Mytilus edulis: one gene and its partners. The protein of the gene in region 3 purifies or fractionates together with the protein of the main gene of each other region. This does not show direct contact. Links are inferred from orthologs where the notes say so. Each region holds a gene or a part of one and is shown on either strand. Other genes may lie near its edges.

What was found.
Region 1: the proteins of structural maintenance of chromosomes protein 3-like (region 3) and meiotic recombination protein REC8 homolog purify together in Homo sapiens (affinity purification with mass spectrometry; 3 studies listed by BioGRID and IntAct, with this or other methods). This does not show direct contact. The link is inferred for Mytilus edulis from reciprocal best matches to the Homo sapiens genes SMC3 and REC8.
Region 2: the proteins of structural maintenance of chromosomes protein 3-like (region 3) and wings apart-like protein homolog purify together in Homo sapiens (affinity purification with mass spectrometry; 7 studies listed by BioGRID and IntAct, with this or other methods). This does not show direct contact. The link is inferred for Mytilus edulis from reciprocal best matches to the Homo sapiens genes SMC3 and WAPL.

Annotation. Positions count from the first base shown.
Region 1 is NC_092347.1:68,466,951-68,475,439, forward strand, and holds the start of meiotic recombination protein REC8 homolog, read left to right. Parts: upstream 1-4,962; 5' UTR 4,963-5,018; exon of another isoform or gene 5,019-5,073; intron 5,074-6,719; 5' UTR 6,720-6,740; coding exon 6,741-6,796; intron 6,797-7,585; coding exon 7,586-7,654; intron 7,655-8,489. Other genes in the region: RNA/RNP complex-1-interacting phosphatase-like, read right to left, coding at 206-281, 4,728-4,744. UniProt on the Homo sapiens protein: Required during meiosis for separation of sister chromatids and homologous chromosomes.
Region 2 is NC_092352.1:23,025,657-23,034,316, reverse strand, and holds the start of wings apart-like protein homolog, read left to right. Parts: upstream 1-4,904; 5' UTR 4,905-5,044; intron 5,045-7,458; 5' UTR 7,459-7,465; coding exon 7,466-8,660. UniProt on the Homo sapiens protein: Regulator of sister chromatid cohesion in mitosis which negatively regulates cohesin association with chromatin. Involved in both sister chromatid cohesion during interphase and sister-chromatid resolution during early stages of mitosis.
Region 3 is NC_092347.1:1,272,970-1,282,007, forward strand, and holds the start of structural maintenance of chromosomes protein 3-like, read right to left. Parts: upstream 3,333-9,038; 5' UTR 3,221-3,332; coding exon 3,206-3,220; intron 1-3,205. UniProt on the Homo sapiens protein: Central component of cohesin, a complex required for chromosome cohesion during the cell cycle. The cohesin complex may form a large proteinaceous ring within which sister chromatids can be trapped.

The DNA of each region.
Region 1 (8,489 bases), about 67 Mb from region 3:
TCAAAGAATCTTCAATAATTAACAAACAACTGACATGACTGCAGACAATAAATGAATAATACTGCTTTTAACATAATAAATACCTTTATATGTTTTGCTCATGCTCATGCAACTTACTGTGATTACATAGTTATTGCTCATAATGGGCATCATTAGGTTTTAATTTAAAATGATCAGTATTCACATATATATATCAAGGACTTACCTTCTTTAATGGAACTTTGAATGCAACAAACTTGGTACCACTTATCACTTCACCAAGGGAACCATACTTCTCCCACCTAAAACATATATAAAATTAAAGAACCTTAGTGAGAGCGCTCACATACCCCGGCCCACGTCCCTATATCGGCACTGGACAAACAAAATAACTGTAAGAAAAAAAAATTGAATCATAATTATAATTTCTTGTCGATATGCACATCTACAAAGTATGTCCTTATTTTCTACAGTTTCATGAAATTCTGTTGTGTGGTTTCAGAGGAGTTGTGATGACAAGCTGTTGCAGTAGTATATTGGGATTTTTTTTTTATTAAATCATAATTTCCTGTCGATATGCACATCTACATAGTATGTCTTTATTATAGAAAACGGTTTCACGAAATTCTGTTGTGTGGTTTCAGTGGAGTTGAGATGACAAGAACAGGACTGACAGATAGACAGACGAACAAACGGAGGGGTCAAAAACATACCCAGTATATATATAAATATGTGGCATGATTGACAATTAGACAACTATCCATAAACATGATGAAGACAAAAAGGTCAAAGATATGAACAATAGCAGGTCAGCATACAGCCTTTATCAATGAGCAGTTATCTTTGTTAAGGCTGTCAGTCAGAGTGACAGTGACATTTTTCCTCATCATACAAAATAGATTTTAATTTCAATAAACATGTGTACTCAATATCAACTAATATTGATTCACTTATAGGGTCTTTGCATCGGAACTAAACACATTTATTTAAAAAACAGTTGTTGGCATGACACGGGTTATGTTCTTCTCATATATTTTATGATAGTATGATACTAAACCCCTAATGGGAAGGATTGTACCTGATATTCATATGATGAAGACATAATCTTTCAATCAGTTTATTTGAGGTCTGGAGCTGGCATGTCAGTTAACTGCTAGTAGTCTGTTGTTATTTATGTATTATTGTCATTTTATTTAGTTTCTTTTGTTACATTGTACATCTTCTGACTTCTCTTGAACTGAATTTTAATGTGCGTATTGGTATGCGTTTACTTTTCTACATTGACTAGAGGTATAGGGGGAGGGTTGAGATCTCATAAACATGTTTAACCCCGCCGCAATTTTGCGCCTGTCCCAAGTCAGGAGCCTCTGGACTTTGTTAGTCTTGTATGATATTTAAGTTTAGTTTCTTGTGTATAATTCGGAGTTTAGTATGACGTCCATTATCACTGTACTAGTCTACATATCTTCTAAGGGGTCAGCTGAAGGACACCTAAGCTTGTGGCAGTTTCTCGCTATATTGAAGACCCATTGGTGGCCTTCGGCTGTTGTCTGCTCTATGGTCGGGTTGTTGTCGCTTTGACACAATCCCCATTTCCTTTCCCAATTTTAATATTGATAGTTGAAAGGGTCACAAATCTCCCTTTTGAGCAAGAATCCAAGTCACAATGTGTAAAAAATATTAGTTAAGGTAATCCGGTTCATGCTGTTAGTAGCTTTTGAGTCTGCTAAAAATTATGAGTGATAGCTTAATAATATTTGAATTATTGCCACCTGAAAATATATTATAAGGTTTGACAGTTCTGATTTTAGTACATTTAATTTCCATCAAAATTCATCACACTTCAATTTGAACTTCAAGTTGACATTTTGACAATACCGCTGTTCCTGGGAATCTTTAAATACCATTTCAAATCCAAGTCATTCTCTAATAGTGTTGATCAAAATATAATTCAAAAGACCTCATGGGAGTTATTCAACTTTTTTATATAAAGTATACTGTATATATATCATATGTAGGGCAAACTTTTTATGGGTCGAAGAACACGGGGTGAACATGCATGTTATCAAGGCAAATGGACTCGATAAAACTAAAACTAGATATAATTATTTGAATCTCCAGTTTTAAGAACTTTTGATTTAGAATATGTGCTGGCATTACACCTTATAGCTATTTACGAATCTGTGCTGGTTGACCCACTTATCTTGAACACTTGAACTATTGACTTCATACAACAATCAACATTTTCATTGTAGAGTCAGATATTTTGTACAGGACCTTGGTGATTTCCAGTTATGATGAACAAATCGCAATAAGATGTTTAACAAGAGGCTGTCACAACGACAGCAAACCGGATTTATTAACATTTATTTGTGTCCTGGCAATATCACAAGAACCATTACTGATGAATGGTGAAAGTGAAAATCGTCAATATCAAATTTGACCTCCATTTTGTCATCAGTATCAACATATTAAAATTTGAAAAGCTTAGATTGAATGGTTCATGAGTAAATGCAACAACGTGAATGGAAACACCATTTTACGATCTTTCAAGAACCATAACTCCTGAACGGTAAAAGTCAAAATCGTCATTATTGAACTTGACCTCTATTTTGTCATCAGTAACAACATATTAAAATTTCAAAAGCTTTGGTTGAATGGTTCATGAGAAAATGCACGGACACGACGGGAAACACCATTTTTCAATTTTTCAAGAACCATAACTCCTGAACGGTAAAAGTCAAAATCGTCATTATTGAACTTGACCTCCATTTTGTCATCAGTAACAGCATATTAAAATTTCGGAAGCTTTGGTAGAACAGTTCATGCATAAATGCACGGACACAACTGGAAACTCCATTTTTCAATCTTTCAAGAACCATAACTCCTGAACGGTAAAAGTCAAATTCGTCATTATTGAACTTGACCTCCATTCTGTCATTAGTAACAACATATTAAAATTTGGGAAGCTTTGGTAGAACAGTTCATGCGTAAATGCACGGACAACTCCATTTTTCAATCTTTCAAGAACCATAACTCATGAACGGTAAAAGTCAAAATCGCCATTATTGAACTTGACCTTCGTATAGTTGTCAGTAATAACATATTAAAATTTTAAAAGCTTTGGTTGAACGGTTCATGAGTTAATGCACGGACAACATTTGATTCCCGCCCGCCCGCCCGCCCGACCGCCCGCCGTACATCCCCAAATCAATAACCGACTTTTTTGTCACAAAAATCCGGTTAAAAATGTAGACCATGGTGGTAAATACATGTGCTTTGGTAATACATGATTGCCAGCTGATTAGTATTTATCTCCCAACCTAAGATGTAAGTCTCATATTCTAGTATGCATGAACAAAATCACTTGGAACGAATTAAACAAATCTGGGACGAACTGTAAACCATGACAAGGATTCATTTTTAAGTTATATTCATAATCCATTTCTTATAATACATAAATTGACTGACAAGAATTATTAAAATTGTAAAATATATTAATAAAGATAAATACATTGTACCCCAATATTCTACTATGCAAATCAATGTTATTTTGGTTGCAGCAATACAAATACAAGCATTTACGATACAGACTTGTTTTCTTTTACAAAATTATACATGCAATTGTATCAGTCCCTACACATAACCTTTTGATCCAACTAGACAATAAAACCAGCTGACATAGCAAATTCCCAATTCACACTCATTTAGGCAAATACAAACATCTAAAGACAGTTATAAATATTCATTTTATCCACGAACAGTTATAAATTTGAATCATCTGCCAAAACAAATATTATCATGCAGTACGTATACAGTACCGGGATTCAAGAGTATATGATCTCAGAATTTGCTCTCATCCCATATTCTATCCCTAACTATTCTGTTATCAAATGTATATAGTTTTATCTAATTTTATTTTTCAAATGTACATTTGTACTTATGTTATTTTGATTTTTTGATTTTGTTATTTTTGATTTTTCTTGCTACAATAGTACATTGTACAATGTAAATTATAAATTTTATAGTCGACAATTGAAGGATCGCTAGAAACTTAAAGAAGAGGAAGAAATATTTGGCAAATTTACCAACAAACTGTTACATACTCTGTTCAAATAATGAACGTGATTATGCAACTTTACATCAATACAAAAAAAGCCAGGGCGAATGGACCCTGGGCGAACAGGTATAAGAGCAAAGGGACTATGGCGAACAGGTACAATGTACAAGAGAAAAGGGACTGTCCGAACGAACGTGAATCAGTCTGTTTAGTCCTATAACATATGAGGGGGTATAGGACCTTTATCGGGACTCCAGGATCGGGTGTTTTTAAGCTCAGGATTTCAGGATTAACCCTTTCGGGATCAGGGAATTCTTTTTTCGAATTTTGGGATGTCAGGATTTAGGTTTATTTAAATTCAGGACCTCAGGATTTGGTATTTTTAAGCCGGGGATTTTGGGATCAGGACCCCTCCTACCACCCCTCACATATGGCTTTGCAGTCTTATTCATTTTAACGTTTTTATACTGATAATTTCATTTTTACTTTTTCAAATGGCACATTGATAGGTAAAAAAAATAAATCAGAAATAGTTAACAATTCCCCTGAGGTCATATGTTAACTTATAGGACTAGACTGTCTAGAGTCTGTTTAACTTTAGTATAGACTCATAGTCGTAAATTATAGAAACAAGTGCCTGTGCAATTACAGCAAGCAGCAGCGCGATCAGATGTCAAAATGAAATTACCTGTCTGGTGGTGGCATATTTTGTTTAAACTTGTTGTTTTCTGCCCTGTAAAAAAATCGTTATGGTCTACAGAATTAGAAAATTACGTTCTACTATTTTTACTTGCACTTTCGAAACAACCGGAAGTGCATATTAAAAATTCCCGGACCGCTTTCTAAAATTAGAAAAATCACAAAAGTTCTTAATCAACCAAGTGTTTAGTACAGTAGAGCTTTAATGGATCATTTCAAGCACTAATCGAAAAATAACTTGTGTAGGCGGGAAATTTGAAACTTTTGTTTTTTGAAAGAGGTGTGCAAGTTGTCCGAAAATTATAAGCTTATATTTCATATTATTTACTGCAAGTGTAAGGTTATATTTTGCTTGTTGTTGTAATTCAGGGGTTCACCTTCAGTAATTAGTGTACCATGTAATTTAAGACTATTTGAAAAAAAAAGCACAGGCGCTCGTTTCTATCACAGACAAAAATGTTTCCTTTTGATTTATTTCAGTTGAAATAATATAGCATGCAAATTTAAGTTGAGAAAAATAGAGAACACTCAAACTTATACATGAATTGTGAATTTTGTATTATAAAACATTGTTCAAAAGTATTCAGTAATATTATTTCGTCATATTTCTGGAATCCTGGATTCACCCGAAAATATTGTCAATTTTGCATGCCTTCATGATGTAAATTACCAGATAGATGGTGTGCCTGTATCCCTTCTCTATTAAAAATTTCCAGCATTTTCAGAATCGTCAAAAAATAGGGTAGTATAGAAATAATTTATGTTCCAGAAGTATTTTACTTTGTCTAAATAAAGGCAACAGTACTGTAGTATACCGCTGGCGCTGTTCAAACTCATAAATCCATGGACAAAAAACAAAATCGGGGTAACAAACTAAAACTGATGGAAACGCATAAATATAAGAGGAGAACAATGACACAACACTACAATGTAACTAACACACACAGAAACGGACCAAGCATCAGACCCATATTATTGACACTTTTAATACTGATATTTTCATTTTTACTTTTTCAAATAGGGTTAAGGTTAGAGTTAGGGTTAGGGTTAGGGTTAGTATATCATTAGAATATCAGTATAAAAACGCTAAATGTGTTGTATTCTGTACATTAAAAAAGTTACAGCCAGCTGAATCATCTTAGTTTATCTCTTCCTGAGGTATTGTAATTCCATGTAACCACGCAGCAGTAGAGAGCAAGTAATGCACAATAGTAATCAAAAACATAAACATAAACTTAAACTCCTGTACGACTGAGGGAGGATGACCATTTATTAGATTTCAATTTCCCAAATATTTTGTGCAGTATAAAATCACTTTTTACCTGTTTGCTAAACATGTGTTGGGAGTGACGATACAATTGAGAATGGAAATGGGGAATGTCTACATTTTTGTCATGTGATGGAAGTTACATGACAGATTCAACTAAAAACCAGAAACTGCTGTATTCTGTACATACATGTATCTGTGGCTTGTAGATTATCTTATCAGACTGATCAAACTCAAATCTTTCACATAAAACAGAAAATAAAAAAAAATCTGCCCTGAAGAATTATAGATATTAAAAGTGTCAATTATATGGCGATACCCAGGTGATGCTTCAAGGCATCATACGCCATGAATGTGTTTTAAAAGATCTGACCGTTACTTAGAATTGTAGAAATTAAAAGTGTCAATAATAAGGGTTTTCAATAATTCTTGTCAATTAATTTAAATTATAAATAAATAATATATTGACATCATTTAAAAAAAAGTTACAGCCAGCTGAATCATCTTAGTTTATCTCTTCCTGAGGTGTTTTAATTCCATGTAACCACGCAGCAGTAGAGAGCAAGTAATGCACAATAGTAATCAAAAACATAAAACTAAGCTTTTGAATTAGAATCAGATTTCTTGGATAGTGAAAAATGGAAATGATAGTTTAAAAACAAACTGTCTCTATATGAATAATATTTCTTTTACTATTTTATAATGTTGTTTCAGGTACATATATATATTTCAATAATGTTCTATCACCAAAGTATTCTTCAAAGAAGAGGAGGAAAATTTGGAACAGTTTGGTAAGTCCACATTTAACATAAAAACATTGAAATGATTAAATAAGCTGAAGATCATAGTTGTGTTTATAAAACTGGTGTTCAACTTTATCTCTACCCCTCCCTTTTCCATTTTTAATAGATAAGAATTTTATGTATTGTTAGAAATGATTGTTTTACTTGTACATCTATTAATTTTTTAGCATATATATTTAAATTATTATACATGTATTTAAAATATTTACTGTTTAAATGTCTGCAGCAAATACTAGAAATTATAAGGGAGATAGATCATCAATTATAACTTAAGGGAGATACATGTAGATCATCAATTATAAGGGAGATACAATGTAGATCATCAATTATAAGGGAGATAGATCATCAATTATAAGGGAGATAAATCATCAATTATAAGGGAGATAGACTATCAATTATAAGGGAGATAGATCATCAATTATAAGGGAGATAGATCATCAATTATAAGGGAGATAGATCATCAATTATAAGGGAGATAGATCATCAAGAGCATAAAGACCATTAAGGAGAAGAGAGTAATTTATATATGAATATGCTCAGTTGTCAAAGAAAAACTACAAAATATACCTGAAAATTGTCAAGTGATGAAAAGATCCCTTTAGTTGAAAATTATCAATATCAATATTCATGGAGCTGCAGGGAGAATCTTAATGCCCCTTCATGTCCATCTGTACGCCCCAAATTGTTTTCCACTCTCTAACTTTTTTAACTCAAAGTGCATATAAATTGGACGAAATATCAAAATTAGTTGTAAATATAAACAATGAACAATTTCAGGCTTGCTGCTACAAAGATTGATCAGCTGAAAAGAAGAGATTTTAGTGCAGTAGATATTAAAAGAACATGGTAAATATTATACAATACTGTTTTAAGGCAATATTTTTTATTCAGTCTATGTTGATCGTTAGTAATAAGGTCAGTTTATGGGAACCACTTATGATAGTCAACGAAATTTGGATAGTAGTTGTATTAGCATTGGTACATCTATTTTCTTTGGAGAACATTTGGGCCTGCCCCCTTAGTTATGGTCTATTAAATTTGTAACTTTTGTTGAAGTTTTCATGTATAGTTTGTAATTAGGTCAGCTTATGGGGAACCATAAGTAGGTCAATTATATTTGGTATGCAGATGTAATTATTCTTGACACATCCCATTTCCACAGAATCATATGGCCCTATCCCCTCAGTCATGGTCTATTGACTGCATATTTTGAATACTTTATATGTTAAAGTGTGTGATTAGATCAGTTTAAGTTGGACCTACAGGGGCGTAGCTACCCAGAGGCACGACAGCACGTGCATCCATGTCTCACAAAAAAAAAAAAAATTGGTCAATCGGAATCAGACAGTGTGCTGCATGTATTATCTAAGACTATTATGAGTATGATATTTGTTTCACGTTCGGAGACTGTTGGTGTCTTTTCCGTCTAACCCGGATATTAGTTTGACAACCTAGTTACAAGTGTTGATGAAGCTGTTCGAGTCATGCAGAAAAAGATCATAGCTCCCTATACGCTAACACGCAGTTGTGTGCACGTTGATGCAAAAAAGAAATAGCAAAATCAAAATTTATAAATTGAATGTTAAAGGAAACACCTATGTTGTCACTTTTTAGCTCACCTGGCCCGAAGGGCCAAGTGAGCTTTTCTCATCACTTGGCGTCCGTCGTCCGTCGTCGTCGT
Region 2 (8,660 bases), on a different chromosome or scaffold from region 3:
GCCAACTTGGTGTACTCTCTTACTCTTTTAATGACAGTTTAGTTTGAAAAAAAAAATTGTACTTCACCATGATCAAGCTTTAAATATCCCAAATATCCAAGATATTAAGTTGAAAGAAACCAATTTATGTGTTGAAAAACGGGATGAACAGTGATCCCTTTATATGGTTCTTTAATGTTTGTTGCTGGTTACTAAATTAAATAAATTACAAACAGGTATTATACTCTTTACAGCTTAATTTTATTAACTTTATTAAAAACCCTAACTGGGCTTAATATAGACAAGCTGGGCATTAATACAGGGCCATTACAGAAAAACAGGGCCATAGCAGAAATAACAGGACCATTGCAGAAAAACAGGGCCATTACAGAAAAACAGGGCCATTACAGAAAAAACAGGGCCATTACAGAAAAACAGGGCCATTACAGAAAATACGTTATTTTCAATAACCAGTCATTTTTGGCAATAATGCACTTAGTTGGTTAATAAAATATAATATTGCACTCTAAATATGCTATGGCAACATTGCACTCACAATATGCTATGACAATATTGCACTTTTGATATGCCACGGCAATATGATATTCTTAAATGCCACAACAATATAACGCTTTTAATTATTATGGCACGACAATATTACACACTTCTTATGCTATAATAATGTCACACTCAATATGTTACGAAAATCGAACTCAATATGCCAAGATAATATTGTACTCTTTCCATTGTAGGTAATGGATCAGCTATATAGCTAAAGATTGAACTTGAATAAACCAAGCATTCAAAGACTCAAAAAGATGATTTTTATAGGATTATTTGGTTAACACCGCATGTCATATATATATATCTCTGTTGTAGGGTTGTCACTGACTCAATTTAGCTGATCTGTAACAATAACATCTTCATGCCTTATATATCATGTACTGCAGTACGCCGCTAGATTAAAACTGACGTGGAAAGGTAACACACGGCCAGCGAAAGCTCTTTTTTGAGAGCCCAGGTGGTCGTGTGGTCTAGCGGGACGGCTGCAGTGCAGGCGATTTGGTGTCACGATATCACAGTAGCATGGGTTCGAATCCCGTCGAGGGAAGAACCAAAAATTTGCGAAAGCAAATTTACAGATCTAACATTGTTGGGTTGATGTTTAGACGAGTTGTATATATATATATATATATATTCATAGGGGAAACAAATTGAAAATATTCCAATAGAAAGGTTCTGCAGAGGTGGTGCAAATTTAACTGTAACATGACAAGAATACAACGAAAGACATGAGCAGCTAGTTTGCAATTGTACATGTAGCAGTTCAGGTTTGAAACTTCAAGAAATCGTGTCACTCTCCCTACACAAGGCAGTGGAATTAAAGCCCAAAATTCCAATTGGAAATAGCTGCTTATTTATATATGCAGCGCATCTAAACGGACGTACCCTGCTAAGCATTTGCAATTCCAGGGTAAACGTACTTCTATTCTTACTCCATTCAACTCTTGGTATCATTTTATGAAGGATATAAATTAACTATTAGATTTTAACTGCCTCATATACCGGAATATATTCAAAAACGTGCCGATGAGAAAAGGAGTTCGGTTTGTTCCCATATCAATACCGATTGTCTATTGAATTACACTTTCATCATAAAAACACATATGGGGTCAATAAAACAAATCAAGCTAGCCTCATTTCAGCTCAGTTCTAATCTTTCGTTTAATTCGAAGTAAAGTTTAACCGTTCCTACAATTAGTCAAGCTATGAGCAATTTAATTCAAAAGATCTAATTAAATTGAATTGCAACTGGATGGTAAGCTAGCAACACTCATTACAACAAATACAATAAATTGAATCGCCTTGGTATTCTCATGACTGTGTGCTCATCTAGAGTTCCGCCGGAGGTCATGATTTCAATTCAGGGACGGGTAAAACATAGACTTGAACATTTGTATGTGTTGATTCTCAGTTAGGCATGTGGCATTTACGGCTAAGAGTTAGGCATGTGACATTTATGAGTAAGAGCAACGATTTGTAGGCTTGGATGCAGAATAATGTGTCTGGGTAGCATGTTTTCCTTAAGATTGTTACCTTGTCCGTCTAGTACAGAGAATGGTTAAAAATAATATCACACTAACATGTTCTCGTCCTGTATATTCAATTAATATGACACTGGACATTTAACAGCATCGTCGTCTATAATTGATGAAAACATTTTTGTTTTGTATCGAGCACATATTCTAAAACTTAATAAGAGAACATGAAGGTTTTCCGCAATTTATTCTCTCTTTCCATAATGTATAAGCAGTTGCTTTCTGGTTGGAAATTGACATGCTGCTCAATGTAAGATATATGGATATATCAATAAATATATATGACCATATAATTATAATGAAAATACATGTATAAAATTTGCAGTGATGTGAGTTTTATTTGCTCCGTGTTGAGGGCCTCACTGTGACTTTGAGATGAAGAACGGCAATAAAAGCGCTGTTCCTTTGCTTTTTGTGTGTTTTGTTGTTGTTGTTGTTGTTGTTGTTGTGGTTGTGCATTAACTGATTTTGTGTTATGGATGGATACACAATATCCTTTGTTTTTCCATTATTTAGATCATTATAATACCTCTCTGTCGTGACTGGGCGTGAGGATGGCATATTAGTACGACAGGTACATATAAAATCAAAATGTAGAGATATGTTCTACGTTCAAACTTTGTACTTTGTACGTTTTTGTTTAAAATAGTGTATTATCAGTGATTTTGTGGTGCTTTTCATGGGCCCATTCAATAGAAAATAAACTTATCCAAGTTCTACCTCGCCATCGTGATACAATGAATAGTTAGGGTTTTCTATATATATGATATACCCGGTATGTATGAAATATACAACAGCTGAATGATTAGCTTGAAGTCGTCTATAGCTCTCACGGATGCGGCCAACCTATTTAGTCCTGCTGAGATCCATATTGTGTGGATAGTTTCAAGAGTCCTCTGTCTTTAGCGCAAAAATCTGTTGAGGTCCATAATGTGGGGAGCATTTCACGAGTTCTCGGTCGTTAGAGCAAACATCTACTGAGGTCCATAATGTGGGGAGCATTTCACGAGTCCTCGGTCGTTAGAGGAAACATCTACTGAGGTCAATGTGGGGAGCATTTCACGAGTCCTCGGTCGTTAGAGCAAACATCTACTGAGGTCAATGTGGGGAGCATTTCACGAGTCCTCGGTCGTTAGAGCAAACATCTACTGAGGTCAATGTGGGGAGCATTTCACGAGTCCTCGGTCGTTAGAGCAAACATCTACCGAGGTCAATGTGGGGAGCATTTCACGAGTCCTCGGTCGTTAGAGCAAACATCTACTGAGATCCTTAATGTGGGGAGCATTTCACTCGTTAGGGCAAACATCTACTGAGGTCCATAATGTGGGGAGCATTTCACGAGTCCTCGGTCGTTAGAGCAAACTTCTACTGAGGTCAATGTGGGGAGCATTTCACGAGTCCTCGGTCGTTAGAGCAAACATCTAACGAGGTCAATGTGGGGAGCATTTCACGAGTCCTCGGTCGTTAGACAAAACATCTACTGAGGTCAATAATGTGGGGAGCATTTCACTCGTTAGAGCAAACATCTACTGAGGTCCATAATATGGGGAGCATTTCACTCGTTAGAGCAAACATCTACTGAGGTCCATAATATGGGGAGCATTTCACGAGTCCTCGGTCGTTAGAGCAAACATCTACTGAGGTCAATGTGGGGAGCATTTCACGAGTCCTCGGTCGTTAGAGCAAACATCTACCGAGGTCAATGTGGGGAGCATTTCACGAGTCCTCGGTCGTTAGAGCAAACATCTACTGAGATCCTTAATGTGGGGAGCATTTCACTCGTTAGGGCAAACATCTACTGAGGTCCATAATGTGGGGAGCATTTCACGAGTCCTCGGTCGTTAGAGCATACATCTACTGAGGTCAATGTGGGGAGCATTTCACGAGTCCTCGGTCGTTAGAGCAAACATCTACCGAGGTCAATGTGGGGAGCATTTCACGAGTCCTCGGTCGTTAGACAAAACATCTACTGAGATCCTTAATGTGGGGAGCATTTCACTCGTTAGGGCAAACATCTACTGAGGTCCATAATGTGGGGAGCATTTCACGAGTCCTCGGTCGTTAGAGCAAACATCTACTGAGGTCAATGTGGGGAGCATTTCACGAGTCCTCGGTCGTTAGAGCAAACATCTACTGAGGTCAATGTGGGGAGCATTTCACGAGTCCTCGGTCGTTAGAGCAAACATCTACTGAGGTCCATAATGTGGGGAGCATTTCACGAGTCCTCGGTCGTTAGAGCAAACATCTACTGAGGTCCATAATGTGGGGATCATTTCACGAGTCATCCATGACTTTTATTTTGTCTTATAAAACACATTTCGATCTTCTCTTGTGCCCGCCTGAGGTGTTGCTTATTGGCCATGATTGACATTTAAAAGTAATTTATACATGTAGATAAAATAATTAGCCGCACTTGCCGTAACTTGGTAGATCTTAAAACTAAGTTACACTAAAAGGATAGCAGGAATTATCAAAAATTTAAGCCGAAACAATAGACCAAGCTGTATGTGTTATTACATCATAATGCCAACAAAAACATTTTATGTCAACGAATATTTACAGATAACATATTTTACATGTGACTCTTTCTTTTAAAGGACAAATATCTATAAAAAAAATATTTCCATTCCATGGATAAAATTTAATATATAACCAATTCATGAGTATGTTGTTCTAAATGTTGCTTTAATTATTTACAGTAGTGCTTTTAATCATTATTTAATAATGTGCAGGTGATTGGGGAAAAAATGGGTCAAAGGGAAATAACACTTACTGATTAGTTGAACTATTTTTAAAGTTATTTCCCCTTTGATTTACGAAACAATGCCTGTAAAATCTGTCCTGAAAGACAAGTGCGATGAGAGTGCGCCTGCGTACAACTGTTATTGTTAGAATTTTCAAAATGGCGCTGTACAGGCGATAGCTGCCGATTGTGTTTGTATATCATGCAGATTTGTTTTTAACAGGTGAATTGAAAATGGGAGTTTTTCATTACAATATTATGCATTTACGCAACATTTTACTCAAAGAATTTGGCGCGACACGTTCTCAGATGGACGAATGAACGCAATCTTTCTCTTGTACGAGTTATCTTACCTCCTCAAAATGATCAATCTTTTTTCGCCTTTTCTGATAGATATGCACATTGATTTACGTCTAGCTTAGAGTTATTTTTTTGAGATATTAAACTACTTTCTGTGAAAAACAAATAATTGACGATTATATTGTTCCTCGTAGCTACATCAGGATCAACTAAGATCTTGTTGTATTGCGTATAAATTATAATTTATACTTTTCAAATCGAGATCATGGCAGATGACTTGGCATGTTGTTTGTGCATACTTCATACTTTAAAAAAATCTTTGCTTTTACCTTTACTACAACAACTATTTAGGTATTTTGTCAAGATGAATGTTAGCCTGGCATCCGGCCCAATCTAGCTGCGCCTCGTATACTGACAAGATTAGCCAGGACCCCAGGCTAGATGAATGTGGACTAGTCTACAGCTGTTCATATTCAAGTTTGGATATTATCACCACTTAGCTTTAAACATATTTATTTATAGTGGATTGGGAAACAAATTATATACTGCAAATACCTATTTGTTCGCTATTACTGTACATCTCAAAGGTTCCATTAAAATTTTGATGTAATAAATACAAATTATCTGACGCCCACAATGGAAAAGTGATTGTGGTAGGATGTCAATAGTTTAGAAGGGTCCGATTATCTGGTCAAGCAGGACAGATTTCTAAATAGCAATAAGGTGTATTGGTATTATACCCCTAAAAGAATCTGAGTCTGTTCGCGCCCATTCACGTTCGCACCCTATCACGTCCGCTCCCTTTCACTTTCACACCCTACACGTTCGCGCCAGATTTTTATTGGTTTTGTGTTTAATAACTTTATAATTAAGTTTTGGCAAGTCAGTGTATTCCTATAAGTATATTTGTTGTCATTGTCCTAAATTAAATTAAGACGTGTTTGTTGTGTTGAATAAATCGTAATCTTTTTTTGGTTAAGTGTATTGCTAACTTTTATTTCATTGTTTCAAAATAAATTGAGACTATAACAAGGTATTTGTGTTGAATAAATTTTAAGCATGTTTTGGTTAGTGCATTGCTATGATTTTTTTGTTTCATTGTTTCAGATCAAAGGAGCCAAGCTGTTAAAATCTTTTAGTGTTTTTCATTTAAAATCTTCAATGTTTTTACTCATACCAAGCTAAATACATGCAGTATTTACATCATTAAATTCTATTTTCAATTGTTGGGTATAATTTTCAATAATGACCCATAGACAAGGTGAATATCTAAAACTGTTAACACAAGAAGTTTAAGTATAATAATTTTGAAGGGTTGACAATTTTGACATTCATCGCTTCTAAGGGGCCACAATTGTTTTATTATACCAAACTAACAGTGGAAGGGTATTTTGAATCACTAAGAGCACTTTACTTACTTTAGTCAGTAGACATACAAAGTTTATGTTCAAAAATACATTAGTGTCTTAGAATTCTTGTTTGTACAACCAATGATTTGTATAGTATAAACAAGCCAAAGGACCATTTATGAGAGATATCATCGGCACAAGATGATCTTCCAAATTCTTATTTCTTATTCTCTTGATCGATGGTCTTCCAGTAACGTGAACTTTGCACTTTTGTTTAATTACGTCTGTGACATCTCTTTCATGGGAGATAACTTATGTAATAATCAAGAAACCAAAAAGGTTACTTGCCAGTGATTAATAGGGTTATTCTCAGCTGTTATAAATTTTTAGGCATATTTGTCCTTCCTTGCAATTAAATGAAAATTAGCTGAATTATTCCATGTCACGTGATAACATGTTACCCACTAGAATTCTATGTATAAATTAAATATATGTAAAGTATAATAAATGAATACAATTTTTACCCCAAAATGGGGATAGTACCCATTTATGAGAATTTTCCCCAATCAGATAATTGTTTGTTTCCTGTGTTACTTTTTAATTATGCTAAATTCTTTTCAGTACATGTACGTTATTTTTCAACTTGATAATTTCAAAGAAATGTGTGGACATGAATGTGGCAGCAAATGCTCATGAAGTCTATCCTTATTCTTTGTGAAAAGTCGTATTTCCCATGTTTTGTGTGTGTTCTGTTGAAATGTTTGGTATTTTTATTAACTATATATATACTTGAACTTAGGGATTATAGTGGATAATGAAGAACTGAATCTGTTATGCAAAAAAGTAAACTTCTGTATGAATATTTTACTGAAAAACTAAAAAAAACAATAATTAGTTTCAATCTGAATTTGATTTTTAATGATTAATTTTTCAGACTTGAATGAACTTTGAAATTCAATATTCATGCTTTTATATACTTATATTTTAGATACAACATGGCTACCAAATCTGCTGTTAAAACCTATGGGAAGGCCAACAGAGAAGCTGCTCAGAGTAAAGCATTTGATGATGCTCTTAAACCAAATTCAGCAGCGAACAGGTCAACATCACAGACCAAGTGGGGCAAGACTTCATTCAGTCGTTTAAGAGAAGATGATCCATTTGAAGTCACATGTAAAAAAGTCAAAATAGAGACAGAATCTGCAGATCCTTTCTCTTTTGATTTTGAAGATGGTGAGACAGTGAAAAAAGAAGTTGTTCAGGCCCCTGTTTTACCACCCCCTCCAACTTCAAACTCAGGGAGTGGATTAGGACGTCCTGCTATCCCTAATCTAAAGGTATCACATAAAGGACAAGAGCAAATTGTAGATAATTCTGAGAATATAGAGGAAAGAACAGAAGAGGAGGAAGATGAAATTCCTTTGTCTAATTTTTCTAGACGACCTGTACGTACATATTCACGTAGGAAAAAAGGGGGCGATGATGACCAAGAATCAGGTGATCAGTCTGTGGCAGTTACCAAAGAAGAAAATAAGGTTCAAGGAAGGCCACAGAGAAGGGATGTGTTTTCCGATTCTCCTGAAAGAGAAATAGAGGACCCATTTGCAGACCAAAATAGTAAAAAGAAAACTACACGAACATACACAAGGCGTAAAGAAGGTAATGTTCCCAGAATGATCACTAGTAAAACTCATGTTTTACATTCAGAAGAAGACAGTGAAGAAGGGTTAACTGTTCTAAACTTTAGAAGTCATTACATGGATCCTGCTGTTTATAGTCAGTTCAAGTACACCCCAAATAATGATGACCCTGTAGGAAGACTCAATAACAGTAAAGTTCTACAAAAATCAGAGATCAAACATGGCAAGGGTTCCACAGTCATTGTGGTTTGTTCCCCAAAGGTTCCTCCTGTTCCAGGACTGAAAAGTTATCTGAAAGAAAAGCCTAGAGGCCCAAAAGCCAGTCAGGAAGATCCTGTGTCCAGCTTCAATCAGGTATCAAACTTAGCTGAGGCAGCAATTTTGGCAAAACAAGAGATACAGACCCTGAATAAAAATACTAACTCAGCGTTTGACTTGACAGAAGAAAATTCTGATAACTTTACTTCAGCCGACCCTGTTCCTCCTAGGTCCTTCAGCAGGAAGACAAAATCATCTTCAGGTTCAGGGGGTTCAGCTGTTAGAGTCAATA
Region 3 (9,038 bases):
ATGGTCTTTTCAATCATCTTAGTGTCAAATGTACCTGATCAAGGTTTTAGAAACATGAAAATTATGTTACAGATATTTCTTTTGTTTATTGGTGTATTCAAACAGGAAAATTTTAAAGACTGATGAAAAGTGAAGTCTGGTCTGCAATATATGATTCTGATGTTGCTTGTCAAACATGTCAAAAGGAGATTTGTGGTCAAAATAACATGAAGAGATGTTGTATGATTGCCAATTGGACAACTATCCAACAGAGTCCAAATTAAACTGATTAAAGCAATTATATGTCCAGGGAACAGCCTTCAAAAGTAAACATAAGTCGTCTTGGTTGTGTGGAACATATGGAATGTGAACTAGTAAACTTGACAAAGGTTTTATGGATGATTTGGAATAATATCTTATAATTTGTTTGAAATATGCATTATTCGCATGTTTGTTACACACATGCTATACGCATCATTTAAAACGCATATTATACACATGTTTCTTACAACACATGTTTAACACATGGTTTTGAAACATGCGTTTTACATCACATATATTTTTCATGTGTAAAACGCACGAATAACGCATGTCTTAAACATGCGTTTTACATAACATGTACTTTTCATGCGTAAAACGCATGAATAACGCACGTTTAAAACATGCGTTTAACATAACATGTATTTTTCATGCGTAAAACACATGAATAACGCATGTTTAAAACATGCGTTTTACATGCGTGGTAGGAAAAAGACGTTTCCCGTGCGTTACCAAACACATGTTTTACATATGTAAAACATGTGTAAAACATGCGTGGCACTTTTCCCTGTGTACAGTGACCTATAGTTGTTAATTTCTGCGTCATTTTGGTCTCTTGTGGAGAGTTGTCTCATAGGCAATCATACCACATCTTCTTTTTTATAATCATTCACAATAATTCATAATCTCTTTATTTTCATAACAAGAAAAAGTTAAAGTAAAACGTGCAATAAGCTATATATTTGTATTACATTTTCATTTCTGATTCACATGAAGTAAATTTGTACCCCTGACTGTTTGTGAGGAATTAAATAACCAAACTATCTAATGACTTAAAAGTTTACATATGTACATGTACATGTGCAGATTTGACTTGTATCTATTTTTACCATGTACTATTACCAACTCTATACCTCATTTTTCAATACAAATCCATGAAAATTGTCTTACAATAAAGGAATCTCATCCCTGTAATTTAATTAGTGGAGAAATCCCTTCTTCACGCGAGAATTTGCATCAGTTACAGGGCTCACACTACTTAAGAATTATAGGGAGAAGTGACTTCTCTTTTTGAAACTGATAGGGAGAAGTGGTGAGATTTGAAAGAGAAGTGCTCATTCGCGCGGTGCGCTACAATGTTTGGATTTTACAATAGTATAAAGGGCCTATGTAAATAATGTTCTTTATATGTTGTTCAATTCATATGAGTAAAAAATTACAATTAAAGTAACATTTGAAATAAAAAGTTGTTTAAGTTTTACTAAGGTTCTTGTGAGAACCTACCAACTAAATATCTAGCACTAAAAAAAATAATTTTATTTTAAAAAATGTAAAGAAATTATAATATATCAATTACAATTTAATTAAAAATTATCTTGTGTATGAAATTCAGTGTTTCTCATAAAAAAAAATATAAAAGTTATTAAGCTGGGCCATAATATATTGATATTAGTATAATAGTCTCAGAGTTAAGCAACTTTAATCAATAGTTTGAAACAATCCATAAAAAATATTGGTAATTATATACACCAATGAATTAGATGTAACCAAAAGTCTCTTAATGCGTGTGGAATGCGTAATTTCTCTTTGGGATCAATATTCTTCTGTCAGCTGTTCCATCCGTGCGTCCGTAGTAATTATTGTAAAAGTACAGATTTCGGTCATAGCTGGTCCGGTTCAGATCCATAGTTTAGAAATCGGTCAATGGCGGACGAATGCAAGAAAATTTACAAAAATAAACGATGTTTGACAAGTTATTTGGAAAGGAACATGACGGTTTTAATGCAATAAAAGGATTAAGCATTTACTGGAGGCAACTTTTATCACGTTTAAATGAAGTAACAAACTTATTTTGCCGCCGAAATTTAGGTTGATGTACGCTTTCGAGTAACAAGCACCGGAACATGCGCAAGTTGCGGAAATGCACGAAGTGATAAAAAGTTGTATTTTTATCAAATAACCTGCTACACACTGCGAAGACAATGCTTCAACCTCTTTTTCTAAAGATAATGAATCGTTTATGTCTGAATTTCTTTAATTAGCAGTAAAAAATTGATGTTTCATCAACTTGGTAAAAATTGAAAATGTCTGTTGACGGAAGCGACTGAAAGCGACTATCGTCAAGAACAGGGCGACTTGTTTTCGCTTTTGGGGGTTGGGGAAAGCCAAGTGACGGTCGGGAAGGCGACTTCTTCGCCCAAGTCGCCTGGTAGCGTGAGCCCTGCAGTTCAACTATTGACGTCATACAACAACTCTATTCTCTTAATGTTTACATATATTGTATTGTGTAGTCAAAATCTTACTAGGACGTCCGTGATGTCCAGTAATGGCAGACAAACAGCATTACTTTAGTTTCAAGATACAGTGTCCATTTTACCACATCCCATTTTATTTTTCACACAAACCTCAATTGTCTGTAATGACAACTTTTCAGACAACATGCAGGCTTGGGATCAGTGTAACATAATCTCCATAAACATCAACATCAACAATACTGGCAAATTCGTAATTCTTCAGCATTTTTGTACAATACTTTAGAGTAATAGTGAAACATATTTTTTAGAAATGTTTTTTATTTAGAAGTGGTATTAGAGTAGTGATGTCATTGCAGAGTTTTCTTGAGTGATAAGTACAATAACAATGTCCGGACGAACCAACAAGATGACCGAATATGGACTACAGTTCATACAAGGCACAAATGTGCACCATAATTCAGTTACCTTGTTTTGTAACCCCTATTAGCTCCTCAGCACAATGACTTATTTCACATTATTTCGTTTACCAGTTAATACCAGTAATACCAAGTCAATTAAATGCCAACATCAGTATATATTCAATGTGTGCTAATGTACAAAATTTTGGGAATATGTCAGGGACGCGGTTGCAATATTTATAGCTTAAAGGGAAATGCATTTCGGACGCATAAAAATAGTATCATTAAATGCATTTCCATAGCATCATTCTTTACCTGTTTTATATACATCGTACAGTAAATTAATTCATAGTTAATAAATTAACATAAAATTTCGCGGTCTGCTTTGTTTACAAATTGCAAATGGCGGCAAAATTTATATCGCTTACGTCAACACAAAATTGCCTATATTTACTCGGTTTTTATATTTTCATTGGTTTCATTCATGGTTTATTTAAATAGTCAAAAAGGATTTCATTAGGTATAAGTTTTTTTTTCATTTCATTATGATTATTAATGTTAAAAATGTTATAAGCACTTGATCTACAAAAACTGTCTAAATTAAGTACACAAAACCCCGTTTCGTGACCTAAACTTCGTGTGTCTTTGCATGCGCGTAGCTACGTTTACGTCAAAACGCCCGGGCGTACACTTGAATTTTGAAAATAAAACAAATAATCGACATAGAATAAGAAAAACTGGTCAAAAGCACATCAGCCTTGTGCTTCTTTTTTCAATGGATTGTAATTTTAAATAAAAAGGGACTAAATTTACTCAAATAGATCAGTTAATATATTTATTTGAATCTTTTGTAAAAGTCTGAATCTACTATAAATTCTACGTACTTTTCTTATATTTAAAGCAATTCACTATCTGCTCAGATTCGATATGCTGTTTGTATTTTTTGTCGAGCCTGTGAGATTTTTGAAACTATGGGATCAACTTCAAGTTGTTATATTGTGCAATGTTTTATCAAAATTATGATACAATGATATTTTTAATTTTTATATTTTCTTTAACATATGTAATAGTTTTAAACTAGTCATTTGAGGGGGAAGATTTTATAGCTTGCTGTTCGGTTTGAGCTAAAGGTCCGTGCTGAAGACCGTAATTTGACCTATAATGCGGTTTATTTTTACAAATGGCACTGTCTACGGTTACATTCAGTGAAATGAAACAATAATAAAAATAAATATTGTTACATTGGAGACTATTTGCCAGAATGCAGGTTTGGGTAAAAACCTATTGATTTCGAATGTAACAATAACGACTGTGTCTACCCGGTTACATTATGTAGATATGGCTCCAGTCGATCATGCTCAGGGACTGTGTCCATAGCGATCTTAAGGGCTGCTGCGATCTAAGAGCTCTTGTCGATCTTATGAGCTGCTGTCGATCTTAAGGGATCCTGTCGATCTAAGGGGCTCCTACCGATGATCTAAAGGGTTTCTGTCGATCGTAGGGGGTTCTTACCGATCTAAGCTAGACACTTGTCGATCGAAGGGGTTCTTGTCAATCTTGGGGCTCTTGTCAGTCTTAGGAATTTCTTTTTATTCGAAATTTTATTCAGCTGAGTGATGTTTATATTGTAACCAATGAACCGCTTATATTATAACAATATGCCGCTTACACAAATGCCGCTTATATTCATTGTTCAATGTACCGCTTATATTGTAAAATGTACCGCTTATATTATAACAATATGCCGCTTACACAAATGCCGCTTATATTGTTCAATGTACCGCTTATATTGTAAAAATGTACAGCTTATATTGTAACAAAATGACACTTATATTGTCACAATGTTCCGCTTTGATAGTTTATAACAATGATGTACCGCTTTAATAAATTGAAACTAAATTGTAACTATGTGCCTCTTATATTATAATATAATGTTCCACTTATGTTGTTACAATGAGCCGATTGATACCGAAACAGTCCCGTTATTAATTCTAAATTCGTCAATGATACCCACGTGAGAGTCCTGACAATTACAGAATACAATACGACTGAGACCAGACAAAGCCGTTTGCAATGCGATAGAGCGGACCGTGATAGGATTACGTTCCGACAGTACCTGATCATCCCGAGTATGCCGACAGTTTTCGAACGGATAGCTTCCGTCAGCGTTGGTTCATTGTCTAGTCACTATCTGATCTCTGTCGGATTACATTCGGTAGAATGGGGACGCAGTCGTGACAGACTCGGTAGAATTTTACCTGGTGAAAGAGACAAATCGGACTAGAAGCGGATTTAGAACGGGATTATCGGGATAAATTCGCTTGGAAACGGTTGAATATCGACGCTTCCTGAACAATATCTGATTGTTGTCGTGATTAAACTATTTTTTTTACAAATTTTAATTAAAGTTTGAATTTCCATCCACGATTCATAGGATCTTGATCAGACTTTTAATAAATTTTAATCGGGAATGGTCCTGTCAAGGACGCCAGTAAAAATCGTGAATGTGTGACCCCAGCTTAACTCCTAATTTAAAACTAATAGTACGGTAGGTGAAATACCGAATCAGTGGTGACACAATGAACGTTGTGCTCGCCCAAAATTTGGGAGGTTGTGAAATTGATTAAATTTGAATCAAATATTTTTTTAAATATTAGTATCTATTTACACTGCTAATCCGCTATACACGCTACCTTTGAGAGTTAGATCAAATATAAGTAGCTTGGAGCCAAGATAATGTTAAGCGATTGTCATTAATATTCAACTCAGCGTGATAGTTTTGTGATAGATAAATACATTCATACCGTACATAAAGAATATCAAATAAACTTTTCCCAGCCTGAATATCCATGTAATAGTTCCCGCTGTGCATTAAGCGTCCTTAGATTATATTCATATGTGACTGTGGGCATTTTAATTACTGCGTGTCATCAGTTTTACAGTTTTATTGGCATGAGCAATACTGTGTTAATTATTTTAAACGAAAAATGCGACCTGCATACCATTCATATCTTAGACACAAAATACGCACAAGTACGCATATTGTACGTGAATTTCCCTTAAAATTCAGCATTTTACAATGTCCGATAATTTTTCAGAGAACAACACTCAACAACGTCCTTTTTTTAACAACCGGTCACTTTTTTTGTATTCATTAAGAAAATGTGAATAAGAAAGTAGGCAATCTTAACATTTAAAACTGATACGTGTTTCTAGATTATAACTATTACTTGGAAAATTACAAGGTTATATTTTTCATTAAGTCACAAAACATATTACAACTTTGATCAAATTTAACCATTTTCGATTCAATGCTTATTTTCTGCCCTGGAAACATTTTACAATAAACTTGCAGTATTACGACATATAGAAATTCACTGGGTGCTATGTATTTGAACGGTCTTTAGAACCGAGTATATGTAATTCAATTTCATTTCATGCTATCTTTCTTTTTATATAATATGTTATGATTGGAATATAATACAGTGGCGAAAACTTTCATTGGAGTAGGTTAGCTAAAGAATAGCAGGGAAAAAAAAGAAAAAAAAGGTCAATAAAAGGTCAAATGGACAGACATGTACTACTATAATAACGACCTTTAGAACAGTAATCACAACGGTAATATGTTATCTCTGCTGTTCTTTACTAGTTTTGTTCAACCTCCCGAATGCTTGATAGATTGCTGTTCTTAACTAGTTTTGTTCAACCTCCCGAATGCATGATAGATTGCTGTTCTTAACTAGTTTTGTTCAACCTCCCGAATGCATGATAGATTGCTGTTCTTTACTAGTTTTGTTCAACCTCCCGAATGCTTGATAGGTTGCTGTTCTTTACTAGTTACGTTCAACCTCCCGAATACTTTATAGATTGCTGTTCTTTACTAGTTACGTTCAACCTCCCGAATGCTTGATAGATTGCTGTTCTTTACTAGTTTCGTTCAACCTACCGAATGCTTGATAGATTGCTGTTCTTAACTAGTTTTGTTCAACCTCCCGAATGCTTGATAGATTGCTGTTCTTTACTAGTTTTGTTCAACCTCCCGAATGCTTGATAGATTGCTGATCTTTACTAGTTACATTCAACCTCCCGAATGCTTGATAGATTGCTGTTCTTTACTAGTTTCGTTCAACCTCCCGAATGCTTGATAGATTGCTGTTCTTTACTAGTTTTGTTCAACCTCCCGAATGCTTGATAGATTGCTGTTCTTTACTAGTTTTGTTCAACCTCCCGAATGCTTGATAGATTGCTGTTCTTTACTAGTTTCGTTCAACCTCCCGAATGCTTGATAGATTGCTGTTCTTTACTAGTTTTGTTCAACCTCCCGAATGCTTGATAGATTGCTGTTCTTTACTAGTTACGTTCAACCTCCCGAATACTTTATAGATTGCTGTTCTTTACTAGTTACGTTCAACCTCCCGAATGCTTGATAGATTGCTGTTCTTTACTAGTTTCGTTCAACCTCCCGAATGCTTGATAGATTGCTGTTCTTTACTAGTTTTGTTCAACCTCTCGAATGCTTGATAGATTGCTGTTCTTTACTAGTTTTGTTCAACCTCCCGAATGCTTGATAGATTGCTGTTCTTTACTAGTTTTGTTCAACTTACCGAATGCTTGATAGATTGCTGTTCTTTACTAGTTTTGTTCAACCTCCCGAATGCTTGATAGATTGCTGTTCTTTACTAGTTTTGTTTAACCTCCCGAATGCTTGATAGATTGCTGTTCTTTACTAGTTTCGTTCAACCTCCCGAATGCTTGATAGATTGATGTTCTTTACAAGTTTCGTTCAACCTCCCGAATGCTTGATAGATTGCTGTTCTTTACTAGTTTTGTTCAACCTCTCGAATGCTTGATAGATTGCTGTTCTTTACTAGTTTTGTTCAACCTCCCGAATGCTTGATAGATTGCTGTTCTTTACTAGTTTTGTTCAACCTCCCGAATGCTTGATAGCTTGCTGTTCTTTACTAGTTTCGTTCAACCTCCCGAATGCTTGATAGATTGCTGTTCTTTACTAGTTTTGTTCAACCTACCGAATGCTTGATAGCTTGCTGTTCTTTACTAGTTTTGTTCAACCTCCCGAATGCTTGATAGATTGCTGTTCTTTCCTAGTTTTGTTCAACCTCCCGAATGCTTGATAGATTGCTGTTCTTTACTAGTTACGTTCAACCTCCCGAATGCTTGATAGATTGCTGTTCTTTACTAGTTTTGTTCAACCTCCCGAATGCATGATAGATTGCTGTTCTTTACTGGTTACGTTCAACCTCCCGAATGCTTGATAGATTGCTGTTCTTTACTAGTTACGTTCAACCTCCCGAATGCTTGATAAATTGCTGTTCTTTACTAGTTTTGTTCAACCTCCCGAACGCTTGATAGATTGCTATTCTTTACTAGTTACGTTCAACCTCCCGAATGCTTGATAGATTGCTGCTCCTTACTAGTTTTGTTCAACCTCCCGAATGCTTGATAGATTGCTGTTCTTTACTAGTTTTGTTCAACCTCCCGAATGCTTGATAGATTGCTGTTCTCTACTAGTTTCGTTCAACCTCCCGAATGCTTGATAGATTGCTGTTCTCTACTAATTTCGTTCAACCTACCGAATGCTGTGTTCAACCTCCCGAATGCTAGATAGATTGATGTTCTTTACTAGTTACGTTCAACCTCCCGAATGCTTGATAGATTGCTGTTCTTTGCTAGTTACATTCAACCTCCCGAATGCTTGATAGATTGCTGTTCTTTACTAGTTTTGTTCAACCTCCCGAATGGTTGATAGATTGCTGTTCTTTACTAGTTTTGTTCAACCTCCCGAATGCTTGATAGATTGCTGTTCTTTACTAGTTTCGTTCAACCTCCCGAATGCTTGATAGATTGCTGTTCTTTACTAGTTTTGTTCAACCTCCCAAATGCTTGATAGATTGCTGTTCTTTACTAGTTTTGTTCAACCTCCCGAATGCTTGATAGATTGCTGTTCTTTGCTAGTTACATTCAACCTCCCGAATGCTTGATAGATTGCTGTTCTTAACTAGTTTTGTTCAACATCCCGAATGCATGATAGATTGCTGTTCTTTACTAGTTTTGTTCAACCTCCCGAATGCTTGATAGATTGCTGTTCTTTACTAGTTTTGTTCAACCTCCCAAATGCTTGATAGATTGC